Saccharomyces cerevisiae S288C: one gene and its partner. The protein of the gene in region 2 interacts with the protein of the main gene of each other region in a pairwise test. Each region holds a gene or a part of one and is shown on either strand. Other genes may lie near its edges.

Evidence for each region. Proteins that work in one complex are often made in the same cells at the same time.
Region 1: the proteins of HXT1 (region 2) and PDR5 interact in binary tests that used the Saccharomyces cerevisiae proteins (3 or more experiments, as listed by UniProt).

What each region holds. Positions count from the first base shown.
Region 1 is NC_001147.6:618,330-624,875, reverse strand, and holds PDR5 (ATP-binding cassette multidrug transporter PDR5), read right to left. Parts: upstream 5,037-6,546; coding exon 501-5,036; downstream 1-500. Other genes in the region: SLP1 (Slp1p), read right to left, coding at 1-147. UniProt on the Saccharomyces cerevisiae protein: Active efflux of weakly charged organic compounds of 90 cubic Angstroms to 300 cubic Angstroms surface volume.
Region 2 is NC_001140.6:288,853-296,564, reverse strand, and holds HXT1 (hexose transporter HXT1), read left to right. Parts: upstream 1-3,939; coding exon 3,940-5,652; downstream 5,653-7,712. Other genes in the region: hexose transporter HXT5, read left to right, coding at 118-1,896; AHT1 (Aht1p), read right to left, coding at 6,875-7,423. UniProt on the Saccharomyces cerevisiae protein: Low-affinity glucose transporter. HXT1 is as well involved in the transport of mannose.

The sequences.
Region 1 (6,546 bases), on a different chromosome or scaffold from region 2:
CACGTTCGTTGTACTTCCAGTCGTGATCACAGTGGTATCATGTAGACCAATCTTCGCATTTTGAGCAGTTTTGTTCCTATCTAATGCAAAAGATCCGATTATACTTACCCACAAAATAAGGCCGTATATGAGAAGACGGTTCGCCATTCGGACAGATAATGATATAATATATCTTATATTTTAACTATATCCATTGCGTCCTTTCTTTTTAACCGTAAGGCACAGTTAAGAAATAATGTTTTCACACTAAATGCTGATGCCTATAAAAAAAAAGTACCGATGAGATAACCTAGGAATAAAATTCTCGGAATTCTTTCGGACATTGAACTTTGATTTATCAGAGCTGGTAAATTCAAGAAAATTGAAATGTAGAAAGCTCGCTGAATTAAGAAAAAAAAAATAAAAACTTATTATTACGCACCTATATGTAGTGATTATGTATGTTTATTAAAAAAGTCCATCTTGGTAAGTTTCTTTTCTTAACCAAATTCAAAATTCTATTATTTCTTGGAGAGTTTACCGTTCTTTTTAGGCACTCTTGCTAACCAGTAGAAAAAGACACCAGCGATATAATTGAATGCAATATAACAGATGAAGATACCATAATTTCTCCATCTCTCACTGTAGAAAGAATTGACATTAGCTAAGTAATCATTGGTTGTAGATATTTGACAGAAACTACAGGTGTCAGTGGCATTTTCATCAGTTAAGTAACCAGTCTTTGCTAGTTGTAAATATGGTTCCATGTACTGCCCACATGTCATACCGGATGGTGGTGTGAATTCTAGCAATTCGTAATCAGCGCATTTGACGTCTACGTTAGCAACACCAACAGCCAACAGAGCCTGAATGAAATAAGTCAAAGGTGAAACCCTGTACATGAATATCCAAAATCTAGGCATGGCACTTGGGGTAGTCATAACACCACAAAAAGACAAAGACATTGTAAACAACAAAGAGGCTAAGTTAGCTGCACTTTCTGCAACTTGGTTGAATGAAATGACAAGCAGACCCATAGAACCAACATAAACGTAGAAAGCACAAGAGAACAACCAAAATAAAGCACCCCTTTCATGCAACTGGCCAGCTGCAGACGCGTTGGAGTAAAATCCAATTGGATAATAGTAGATAAAATAAGCAATAGTACCTGCCAATATATTCCATGGAACTTCCACGAATATTTGAGCGAAGATAAATGAAATCCAAGAAAAAGTCCTTGAGGGGCGTTCCCTGGCCTCATACAAATCTCTTTGCTGGACAAAAGATGGTAGGTATTGTTGTAGAATAGGATTGAAAATAACCGTAAACATGAACACAGCCAACATTTGATTTTGTAAACCCTGTAGCGAGGTTCCTGCTTTGAAGAAAGTGAAACCGATGAACAATTGATTGAAAATAGTTAAAATAAACTTCGACCATAAATAATCTGGAGATCTCCAATATTGCTGGAATAGACGAATACTGACCAATTTTGTTTGATAAATAATTGATTGTGAAAATTCGTGTTTGTCCTCAGCTGCAGTTATCGAACCTTTCTTTGGTAATTCTCTTTCCATCCAATCTAATTCAGATTGAACGGCCCTGTACTCTTCAGAATTCCTCCAAACTTCGTAATAATCTTGATTTGCATGAGAGCCTGGAGCTGCACCAACAACTTCTAGCATCCATTCAGCTGGGTTGGCGTCAGCAGGGCATTTATGAGCACCATGGCTTTCAAAATAATCGATCATAGTTTTACAACCTTCGCCCAAGTCGCCAAAGTAGACAGTCTTACCACCACGTTGCATAAATAGTAAACGATCGAATTCTTGCATCAAAATAGCAGAGGGTTGGTGAATAGTACATAGAATTGCTTGACCATGATTTGCCAACTTTTTCATTAGCTGACAAATAGACCAAGCAGTTTGAGAATCCAAACCAGAAGTAGGTTCATCTAAAAAGACCAACAGTTTTGGTTTGGCAGTTAATTCAACACCAATGGTTAATCTTTTTCTTTGTTCAACGTTTAAACCTTCACCAGCAACACCAACAACAGCATCAGCATATTTTTCCATTTCAAGAATTTTAATAACTTCTTCAACATATCTGTTCTTTTCTTCAATGGAAACTTCAGCTGGTTGACGTAGGTAAGCAGAAAATCTCAATGACTCCCTCACAGTGGCAGTTTTCAAATGCAAATCTTGTTGCTGACAATAACCAATGGATCTTGGGAAAGATTTATCACGGGGAATACCATTGACCAAGATATCACCAGTTATAACACCCATGGTAACCCTTTCGGCCAAACAATCCAGAAGTGTGGTTTTACCAGCACCTGAAGCACCCATTAAAGCTGTTAAAGTACCTGGTTTAACCCAACCATCAACATTGTTCAAAATACGTCTTGTTTCGGCCTTAATCTGAACTTCGTAACAAAGGTTTCTCCAGTGAAATATAGCCTCTGACTTGGATAAACCAATTTCTCCGTAAGTATCGGATTCCTCTTCAGAGCTTTCTTGTAGCATTTTCCTATCGCTGGATAAGTCACTACGTTCCCCAACGTTTTCGGGGTCATTTGCATTCTTTTCAGTTAGTACACCTCTTTTCTTCATTCTTTTAACTATACTGCGTGGGAAAACTAATATTTCACCTTTTTGTTTAGCACCCTCGTTGTATTCACATAAGAATAGATAGACAAAGAAAAAGAAGACGACATAAGCCATACCAATACCGAAACCACGCCATTTGTCTTTGTGGTAGTATTGATAAGTTCCTCTAATGAAATCATCACCCAGAACATAGTCTTGGCCTGGAACAGCTCCAACCACGGTACAAACAGATTCTGTACTAGAAATGTTTGCATACGCAGGACCACGAGGAACATATTCAGCGCAGGGGAATTTTATACCATGAAACTCGTTAATTAACAAAGATTCGAATAAGTAAGCCAACGGATTGATATACCAAATCCATTTAGACCAACGTAGGATCTTCTTCTTAGGAATAGCAAAACCGGTATACATGGATAGAGCCAACAATAACATAGAAGCGGGAACCATAGCTTCTGACAATGTCTTTGTTAAGGAACCAACACATCTAAACAAGTGAGACATGGAGAAAACCGCGACAATGTTTATTAATAAGTAGAAAAAGAATACACCACCATTTCTTCTAAAGTCTACTAAGAAATAGAAGATTATATTGAAGCAAACAGCGATGATTAACTTTGAGGGTATTTCTGATAGAACTGATGCAAAAGCGTCAGCACTTGGATGGTATAACGAATATGTTCTATGTTTTTCAGTGATTGGTCTGGCCTCATATAACGAAAAGATTTCTAACAGAGAAGAAAATGCATTGAATAGAATTGCAAAAAACATAGCAGAACCACGGAAATAGAATGTAGAAGTATCACCCTTTTTCATGATCTTGAAAAACATTGAACCCAAGATTAAAGCCATACTACAGTTACCCAAAATCATAAATAATGTAAACCCGATATTATTTCGCAGTCTCCACATATTTCTGATTAATAGGTATTTAACTTGCATCATGTAGCTGACAGTATAAGGAGAGGAAGGTCTTGCTCTCTTGGACTGCTTAGCAATGTGGGCTTCCTTAATAGCTTCACGGCTTGCTTCATCGTCATTCAATAATCGTTGGTCGACTTCTTTCATTAGCTCTTTGTAATTTGGAGATTTTACCCAGTAATCGTTCATTTCCTTCGGGGTCTGTGGTATATGAATACCTTTTTTTAGCATATCTTTGTTCAGGGTTCTCTCAGAGGGACTTGTAACTGAGGTCAAAAAATCTGCGGTGGTTTGTCTGCTTGGACAAACATACCCCATATCTTCAAAGTACTTCTTGGCCTTATCGGCGGGGCCATAGTAGATCTGATAACCATCATCCAAAACACAGACTTTATTGAACAAGTCGTACGCATCTTGAGAACATTGATAGATGGCCACTGTGGCAGATGTATTGGAAATATCAGCTTGAGTCTTTAAGGCACGAATAAATTCCAAAGCGGTAGCGGAATCCAAACCCCTTGTAGCATTATCCCAGCATTGAAATTTGGATCCACAGATGGAGACTTCAGCAATGGAGACACGCTTCCTTTCACCACCGGAAACACCTCTGACGATGTCGTTACCAACTTTTGTATTCCTTGTATGCGATAAACCGTACGTTGCCATTGCTACTTCCGCCAAATGATTCGCATAACTTTCCCTATCGACACCCTTGATACGGTTCTGTGGGGTTTTCAACCTCGCTACTGTAACCAAAGTTTCGAAGACTGTTAAATGAGGCAGATGTACATCAGCTTCTGCGTTGTAAACAACTTCACCACGAAAATGTTTCTTAATATCATCACCTGAGTAGCCGCTGTAAGAAATTTTAGTATCTGCACCAAGATCAAAACCATGAGTATTTGAAGAGATGGATTTTAATAAAGTAGTACAGCCAGAGCCTGGTCTACCTAAAACGACTAGCAATTCACCTGGGTTTAGGCAACCATCCATTGGTTTCAAGATTTGGAAAGTATTGGTTTCTTTAGAACGTTGAAACTTTCTCAGCCCACTTTTTAGGATTTTGTATGGAATATTAACCACAGTTGACTGATAGGCGACATCTGCGGAAGCACCAGAAGCACTTAAGTTCTTCCAAGCGCAACCTAAGGAATAAGGCTTATAAAAGTCAGGGTCTGCCGCACTTAGGTGAGCCATATTCTTAACCCAGGCGGCACTAGAAAAATTTTCGGAGTTGGGGTCCAATTTTGGGTCATAGCCTGGAGCTTCAGGATCAGAGAATATCGGGTTTACACCTTCCACACCGCTAGAAAATATAGACTGAGCATCACTTTTGTTGGGTGCCGATTGAGTGGAGTTTTGCATACTCTGTGCGGTCAGAGTCCTTGCCAGTTTTTGGATTCGAGCTTCTGTATGCTCATCGAACCCATTATAATTGTGTAGATCAGCAGCGTTTTCAGTAGAAGAAGACGCGGAGGAGTAGCTAGTAACGTCGTTGACGTTATTGTTAAGCTTGGCCTCGGGCATTTTTGTCTAAAGTCTTTCGAACGAGCGGATACGAAAACTTAAAAGGGTCTTTAATTTCTTTTTCGAAAGTTCCTAGTTGCCAATTTATTTATAATTAGAATAACAAAGTCGAGTGATAACTAACACAGTTGTTATATGTTTGCAACTTTGCGTGACTTTTTTCTTTTGGATTTCATTCTAAGGTATGATAATAAAAGCGAACAGCCATAAGGTTATGCACATCACAATTATATATGTATAGGAGAGGCCTTGTTTGTATTGCTCAGATTACGTTCAACAGATATCGTACCACGGCGTAGAAGAGTTCCGCGGAGACATTTCTCTTTTTTTAGCACATTACCATAAGTAGGAATACAGATCTGACCTTTCCACGGAATCACGAGTCCAAAGGGTGCTGAATCGTGATCACGACCCGCGGGTGAGCCCACACTCACCGGAGTCTTAGTAAATCTGAAAATGTTGTGGCACCGCGGCATGAGCGATTCCGCGGAAAGAGAGGGGCAGTCTTAAGTTTCAGTCCACTCGTTCCGTGGGAAGCAATCGACCGAATGGTTCTCCACGGACGTTTTCTCGGCGGCAAGGTTGTGTCGTGATAATCGTTGCATAGATGTGATGGCTTCCTGCAACTTATCCTGTGCTCGAAGGCGCAGAATGCGAACGTTCGCGCTGAGGAACGTTCATGTTCTTTTATTAGTAAGATCATACGTGTGGTGTTGTTTTCCATTGAGTTCCACTCCTGATTGTGTGAAGTGATAAATGTTGTGTACTATGTAAGGGACTGCGCCAACGAGGTGCTGCTTTCTATTATGGCAAATTGTTGCGAGTATGGCTTAATTGTTTATTGTAATAGGTAATTTGATGTTCTTTTTTTTCTTTGATTTGAACTTTTGTTCTCTCTCTCAACTTTTTCTTTTCTTTGTCCTTGTTGATTAGATTGTGACGATAATTTCCTTATAATATCATTGTTGGAATCAAAGAGGAAGACATATTTACGTTAACGAACAAGTTCAGTGAACCATCTAAACATAGAAAGGGGTCCCAGAGAACGCTTCCTTTGTATGATATCTGAAATTTGTCTACTGCATTCAGGCTTATATATATGTGTGTGGTAGCGCCCAACGGAGAACCGTATATGACGGACTTTACTGTGTCACATTTCAGAAAAACAATAAGTGTTTTTCCCTTCCGTAAATAGCACATATTCATTCCTATATCGCCTCTCTGTTTTATGCTCTTTTTTCCCGGGCATTTATTATTACCCGGTATTTCCAAAGATGCGGTTACTGCCCGCGGGTATTGGGCCTCCCTTAATATGCATCGATTTTACTGTTTAAAATCGTACAAAAGATAATATGTGGAAACAACTTTCCTAAGCAGCGAAATACACGTGCAAGAGCAACGTTATATCATTTCGATTTCATTTAATTTGATCTGGCTCGACATTAGTATTTCAAATCGAGGATAAGATTTTTGTAGTGCTCTTTTTTTCTATCTTTTAGCTAAGGTTCCT
Region 2 (7,712 bases):
TATAATATACGCAAACAAGATTCGCTTTCACTTTGCAATTTTACTTCATAGCTTTGTTAAAACCAGCAAAAAATATTATTTTTCTAGAAAAAAGAATATATTAGAGGTAAAGAAAGAATGTCGGAACTTGAAAACGCTCATCAAGGCCCCTTGGAAGGGTCTGCTACTGTGAGCACAAATTCTAACTCATACAACGAGAAGTCAGGAAACTCGACTGCTCCTGGTACCGCCGGTTACAACGATAATTTGGCACAAGCTAAACCCGTCTCAAGTTACATTTCCCATGAAGGCCCTCCCAAAGACGAACTGGAAGAGCTTCAGAAGGAGGTTGACAAACAACTAGAGAAGAAATCGAAGTCGGATTTACTATTTGTATCCGTCTGCTGTTTGATGGTTGCTTTTGGTGGGTTCGTGTTTGGGTGGGATACTGGTACTATATCTGGTTTTGTCAGGCAAACAGACTTCATTAGGCGATTTGGCAGCACCCGTGCAAACGGGACTACCTATCTTTCCGATGTCAGAACCGGTTTGATGGTTTCTATTTTCAACATCGGCTGCGCTATCGGAGGTATAGTTTTGTCAAAGCTCGGTGATATGTATGGACGTAAGATTGGTCTGATGACTGTTGTCGTCATTTACTCAATTGGGATCATCATCCAAATCGCCTCCATTGACAAATGGTATCAATATTTCATTGGAAGAATCATCTCAGGACTGGGCGTTGGTGGTATTACAGTTTTGGCGCCTATGCTAATTTCTGAAGTGTCGCCTAAGCAGTTGCGTGGTACTCTGGTTTCATGTTACCAATTAATGATCACTTTCGGTATCTTTTTGGGATATTGTACTAATTTTGGTACCAAGAATTACTCAAACTCTGTCCAATGGAGGGTACCATTAGGCTTATGCTTTGCATGGTCTATTTTTATGATTGTTGGTATGACGTTCGTTCCTGAATCCCCACGTTATCTGGTAGAAGTGGGAAAAATTGAAGAGGCCAAGCGGTCCTTAGCAAGAGCTAACAAAACCACTGAAGACTCTCCTTTAGTAACTTTAGAAATGGAGAACTATCAGTCTTCTATTGAAGCTGAGAGATTGGCGGGCTCTGCTTCTTGGGGGGAATTGGTTACTGGTAAGCCCCAGATGTTCAGACGTACACTAATGGGTATGATGATTCAATCTTTACAACAGCTGACAGGTGACAATTACTTCTTTTACTATGGTACTACAATTTTCCAGGCTGTTGGTTTGGAAGATTCATTTGAAACTGCTATTGTTTTGGGTGTTGTTAATTTTGTTTCGACTTTTTTCTCGCTATATACCGTCGATCGTTTTGGTCGTCGTAATTGTTTGTTATGGGGCTGTGTAGGTATGATTTGTTGCTATGTCGTCTATGCCTCTGTTGGTGTTACCAGATTATGGCCAAACGGTCAAGATCAACCATCTTCAAAGGGTGCTGGTAACTGTATGATTGTTTTCGCATGTTTCTACATTTTCTGTTTCGCTACCACTTGGGCCCCCGTTGCCTATGTCCTTATCTCTGAGTCGTATCCCTTAAGAGTACGTGGTAAAGCAATGTCGATTGCAAGTGCCTGTAACTGGATTTGGGGGTTCTTGATCAGTTTTTTCACTCCATTTATTACTTCAGCAATCAATTTCTATTATGGCTATGTCTTTATGGGTTGTATGGTGTTCGCATACTTTTATGTGTTCTTCTTTGTTCCAGAGACAAAGGGCTTAACATTAGAAGAAGTCAACGAAATGTATGAAGAAAATGTGCTACCTTGGAAGTCTACCAAATGGATCCCACCATCTAGGAGAACAACAGATTATGACCTAGACGCTACTAGAAATGATCCGAGACCATTTTATAAAAGGATGTTCACTAAAGAAAAATAATCTCTTGTAGTGTAGGATCAACTATTTTCGCATACTTGCAATGTTCAGCATTGCACCATTTCAAATTTTAATATTAATATTAATCGTTTTCGTTCATATGTTCATTCATAGTTTACAAATAATGCAATCATATGCAGAGATATTTTGTCCGTGGTTAATAGGGCTGCCTGTTATTCCTTTAATTCAACTAAATTACGTATGTCTAATAATATCAAAATCATCATGACGTTTTTGTTTTTTTTCTTTATTTTAAGTAGGATCAAACCAGGGGAGAAAGGGTTGCTACGCCTAACAACAAGAACTTGTATATCGTTTCTTGTTACTTATACTTTTCTGCCCACTTCTCTCTTACAACTGCTCGAGCTCATCCTTGGTAATAAAACAGTGAGGACGGTTACTCGAGGTTTCAACAGGGGAAAATAAATTTATATGATGAATCAAGAGCCCCGTTCTTTTACCGTATTATCCTTCATACTACATACTAGGGAAAGAACTGAAAACTCCGCTACCTGCTGTAACAGCGCATAATAAAAAGCAAGAATATAGACAGTTACTGTTGTTTACGTTCTTTGATGACATCATTCTCATCAGACATACAGAAACACATCCTTTTTGTCTACCCCGTATTTATTCCAACTTCAAAGTATAGGTACCGTCCGGTTATACTCTCATATACTTTGTGGCAGTTTGCTTCTTTAAACCTTGTTAACCCAGAATATTTTCAGTGCAAAAAGCTTCCGATCCTCAAATACAGTGAGAGAAAAAGCAAACTTGTCTTCATTATTTTTCTGTTTGGCCCTGTCACGGTTCTTTTTATGGCCTTCTCGAAGGATATCCGTAGTCAATTATATTCACGTAGTTGCCAAAAGTAATTTTTGGAAAACTATTATTCCTCCGAGAAAACCTCACACAGAAATCCTTGCAGGTCTCATCTGGAATATAATTCCCCCCTCCTGAAGCAAATTTTTCCTTTGAGCCGGAATTTTTGATATTCCGAGTTCTTTTTTTCCATTCGCGGAGGTTATTCCATTCCTAAACGAGTGGCCACAATGAAACTTCAATTCATATCGACCGACTATTTTTCTCCGAACCAAAAAAATAGCAGGGCGAGATTGGAGCTGCGGAAAAAAGAGGAAAAAATTTTTTCGTAGTTTTCTTGTGCAAATTAGGGTGTAAGGTTTCTAGGGCTTATTGGTTCAAGCAGAAGAGACAACAATTGTAGGTCCTAAATTCAAGGCGGATGTAAGGAGTATTGGTTTCGAAAGTTTTTCCGAAGCGGCATGGCAGGGACTACTTGCGCATGCGCTCGGATTATCTTCATTTTTGCTTGCAAAAACGTAGAATCATGGTAAATTACATGAAGAATTCTCTTTTTTTTTTTTTTTTTTTTTTTTTTACCTCTAAAGAGTGTTGACCAACTGAAAAAACCCTTCTTCAAGAGAGTTAAACTAAGACTAACCATCATAACTTCCAAGGAATTAATCGATATCTTGCACTCCTGATTTTTCTTCAAAGAGACAGCGCAAAGGATTATGACACTGTTGCATTGAGTCAAAAGTTTTTCCGAAGTGACCCAGTGCTCTTTTTTTTTTTCCGTGAAGGACTGACAAATATGCGCACAAGATCCAATACGTAATGGAAATTCGGAAAAACTAGGAAGAAATGCTGCAGGGCATTGCCGTGCCGATCTTTTGTCTTTCAGATATATGAGAAAAAGAATATTCATCAAGTGCTGATAGAAGAATACCACTCATATGACGTGGGCAGAAGACAGCAAACGTAAACATGAGCTGCTGCGACATTTGATGGCTTTTATCCGACAAGCCAGGAAACTCCACCATTATCTAATGTAGCAAAATATTTCTTAACACCCGAAGTTGCGTGTCCCCCTCACGTTTTTAATCATTTGAATTAGTATATTGAAATTATATATAAAGGCAACAATGTCCCCATAATCAATTCCATCTGGGGTCTCATGTTCTTTCCCCACCTTAAAATCTATAAAGATATCATAATCGTCAACTAGTTGATATACGTAAAATCATGAATTCAACTCCCGATCTAATATCTCCTCAGAAATCCAATTCATCCAACTCATATGAATTGGAATCTGGTCGTTCAAAGGCCATGAATACTCCAGAAGGTAAAAATGAAAGTTTTCACGACAACTTAAGTGAAAGTCAAGTGCAACCCGCCGTTGCCCCTCCAAACACCGGAAAAGGTGTCTACGTAACGGTTTCTATCTGTTGTGTTATGGTTGCTTTCGGTGGTTTCATATTTGGATGGGATACTGGTACCATTTCTGGTTTTGTTGCTCAAACTGATTTTCTAAGAAGATTTGGTATGAAGCACCACGACGGTAGTCATTACTTGTCCAAGGTGAGAACTGGTTTAATTGTCTCTATTTTTAACATTGGTTGTGCCATTGGTGGTATCGTCTTAGCCAAGCTAGGTGATATGTATGGTCGTAGAATCGGTTTGATTGTCGTTGTAGTAATCTACACTATCGGTATCATTATTCAAATAGCCTCGATCAACAAGTGGTACCAATATTTCATTGGTAGAATTATCTCTGGTTTAGGTGTCGGTGGTATCACAGTTTTATCTCCCATGCTAATATCTGAGGTCGCCCCCAGTGAAATGAGAGGCACCTTGGTTTCATGTTACCAAGTCATGATTACTTTAGGTATTTTCTTAGGTTACTGTACCAATTTTGGTACCAAGAATTACTCAAACTCTGTCCAATGGAGAGTTCCATTAGGTTTGTGTTTCGCCTGGGCCTTATTTATGATTGGTGGTATGATGTTTGTTCCTGAATCTCCACGTTATTTGGTTGAAGCTGGCAGAATCGACGAAGCCAGGGCTTCTTTAGCTAAAGTTAACAAATGCCCACCTGACCATCCATACATTCAATATGAGTTGGAAACTATCGAAGCCAGTGTCGAAGAAATGAGAGCCGCTGGTACTGCATCTTGGGGCGAATTATTCACTGGTAAACCAGCCATGTTTCAACGTACTATGATGGGTATCATGATTCAATCTCTACAACAATTAACTGGTGATAACTATTTCTTCTACTACGGTACCATTGTTTTCCAGGCTGTCGGTTTAAGTGACTCTTTTGAAACTTCTATTGTCTTTGGTGTCGTCAACTTCTTCTCCACTTGTTGTTCTCTGTACACCGTTGACCGTTTTGGCCGTCGTAACTGTTTGATGTGGGGTGCTGTCGGTATGGTCTGCTGTTATGTTGTCTATGCCTCTGTTGGTGTTACCAGATTATGGCCAAACGGTCAAGATCAACCATCTTCAAAGGGTGCTGGTAACTGTATGATTGTTTTCGCATGTTTCTACATTTTCTGTTTCGCTACTACCTGGGCCCCAATTGCTTACGTTGTTATTTCAGAATGTTTCCCATTAAGAGTCAAATCCAAGTGTATGTCTATTGCCAGTGCTGCTAACTGGATCTGGGGTTTCTTGATTAGTTTCTTCACCCCATTTATTACTGGTGCCATCAACTTCTACTACGGTTACGTTTTCATGGGCTGTATGGTTTTCGCTTACTTTTACGTCTTTTTCTTCGTTCCAGAAACTAAAGGTTTATCATTAGAAGAAGTTAATGATATGTACGCCGAAGGTGTTCTACCATGGAAATCAGCTTCCTGGGTTCCAGTATCCAAGAGAGGCGCTGACTACAACGCTGATGACCTAATGCATGATGACCAACCATTTTACAAGAGTTTGTTTAGCAGGAAATAAACTAAACAAGCTCAATATGCATATTTTAATGACTTATACAGTATTTAATTTCTCAGTAAATTTTATAAAGGTGATATTATATTGGTGTTAAAACAAAATTCTTGTCAAATTCATAAACAGATGTTCTTTTCTTTGCTAGTTCTTGACCTTCACCAAGGAACAAGAAATTTCATTCTGGCACTCTTCCGAGGAAAAATTTTATATGATATAGTATGGGTTAATACCACATAGGCGCTATACATAGTTCAAACGCCCGCTTATGATTTCGGAAAAATGTCAAATGAATAGAAATTGACAACGCTGCTGCTTCAACATCTAGTAGTGTTACTTAAGCCTGTTAGGATGTTGTTTTTAGGTATTTATAATTACTAGCAATAATTTCCATTAACAGATAACCGAGTCGATCTCAATGGATATACAGTTGCCAATCATATGTATTTTCTGACTGGCACAGGGAGACACGAAAAACACTTGCTTGATAAGAGGTGAAGCAGTAAAGAAAAGACGACAAGTAAAAAAAAAATGACGAGAAAATGCACGCTACCATCGAAAAGGCGACCTTTCCAATCCACTAAGAGTTACTTTAAAATCGTTGAAAAAGCATTATGACACTATGTTTGGCGCCAATAAGAATACTACGTCATTATGCATGGAGGAGAACCGAATATTTTTTTTTTATTCCAGCCCTCTTCATGTAAATGTTCTGATTGATAAAAGAATGAAAAGCCCTAGGGTTATTAAATCCAAAACTTAGGCTGCCAACCTGACATTGTAGACAAGACACGACAGCGGTAAGAGAAGATCTGAACAGCTGACGCAAGTACCCCAGATATTTTCCAACTTTTACGGGAAAAAAGACTAATAGGAAGGAGGTGGGGAATCATGCTTTAGTTTCAACTTTGAGGTTTAGCTTTCAGACACGAAAACTAGAAGGAACATTATGTTGTTTCACTTTCATTTTGGAACAGAACTACGCTACCGCATCAATTTGCGGGAATTTTGATTTGGCAACGCGCACGTATTTTCTAGCGATGCGTAAAAGTAAAACAGTCAAGATAGTCTCATCCTAGATGGTGCAAAGTTAGGACCGAAAAGCCAGGTTCAACGATGTTGCCAAATAGTCGTACCTGAAAAGCTTAGGTTTTCCATTTATGCGAATATCTCTATGCAAAATAAATTTTAAGTACCTCAAAATTTTTTTGCACCGATCAAGATATAATAATCAGATGAGAATGAATAAACAAGACGCAGATGAAGGCTGGGCCTCCAACGAAACCCAGTACACTGCAGTAATTTCCACCAAGAAACGCTTGGCCTTCGTAAAGTCACTTGCAGCAGCATAGCGGAAACAAGGAAGAAAAATATCCGAGTCAGCTGGTTCCGGGATTTTTTTTTGCCCAATAGGAAAAACAATGCCCAAACCGGAACCATTTCCCGTTTTTTCTTTCGGTTTATCCGCTTTCTTCCAAAAAAATCCGTACAAAATGGAAAAACAATGTTTATATAATATTCCACATTTTTCCTGGCCTGCGTCTCTTTCTGTGGAGAAGAAGATATTTCCCTGAGCAGTTTTTTTTTCTGACCCCTTTTTTTTTCCCACCCCCCCCGGTTTTTTTTCCATGGGGCCCCATATTCCCCCGCCTGCAGGAAAACTTGGGGAAAGAGGAAAAACACTTCGGATAAAAACGGTCAAGAAGCTCTTCGACGATTTAGTGCCACCTTCATGAAAAATTCCAGAGTTTTTTCCAGCTGCTTTGATTTTACAGTCCATTATTCGGCGTCTAACGATTCTGATTAAGAAACAACGGAGGAAAACTCAAATTCTAATATAATATTTTTAAGTTTATGAAGGTGGGGTGGTAAGAAAAGCAACTAAAATAATCTTCAAGTCAATTAGTGGTGAAAAGCTTCAACACTGGGGAATGAATAATATGTCATCTAGAAAAAATTTTATATAAATACTCAGTGTTTTATTCATTATTCTCGATTCATTCACTTCAATTCCTCTTCATGAGTAATAGAAACCATAAAGAAAAGATATATTCAAAGCCTCTTATCAA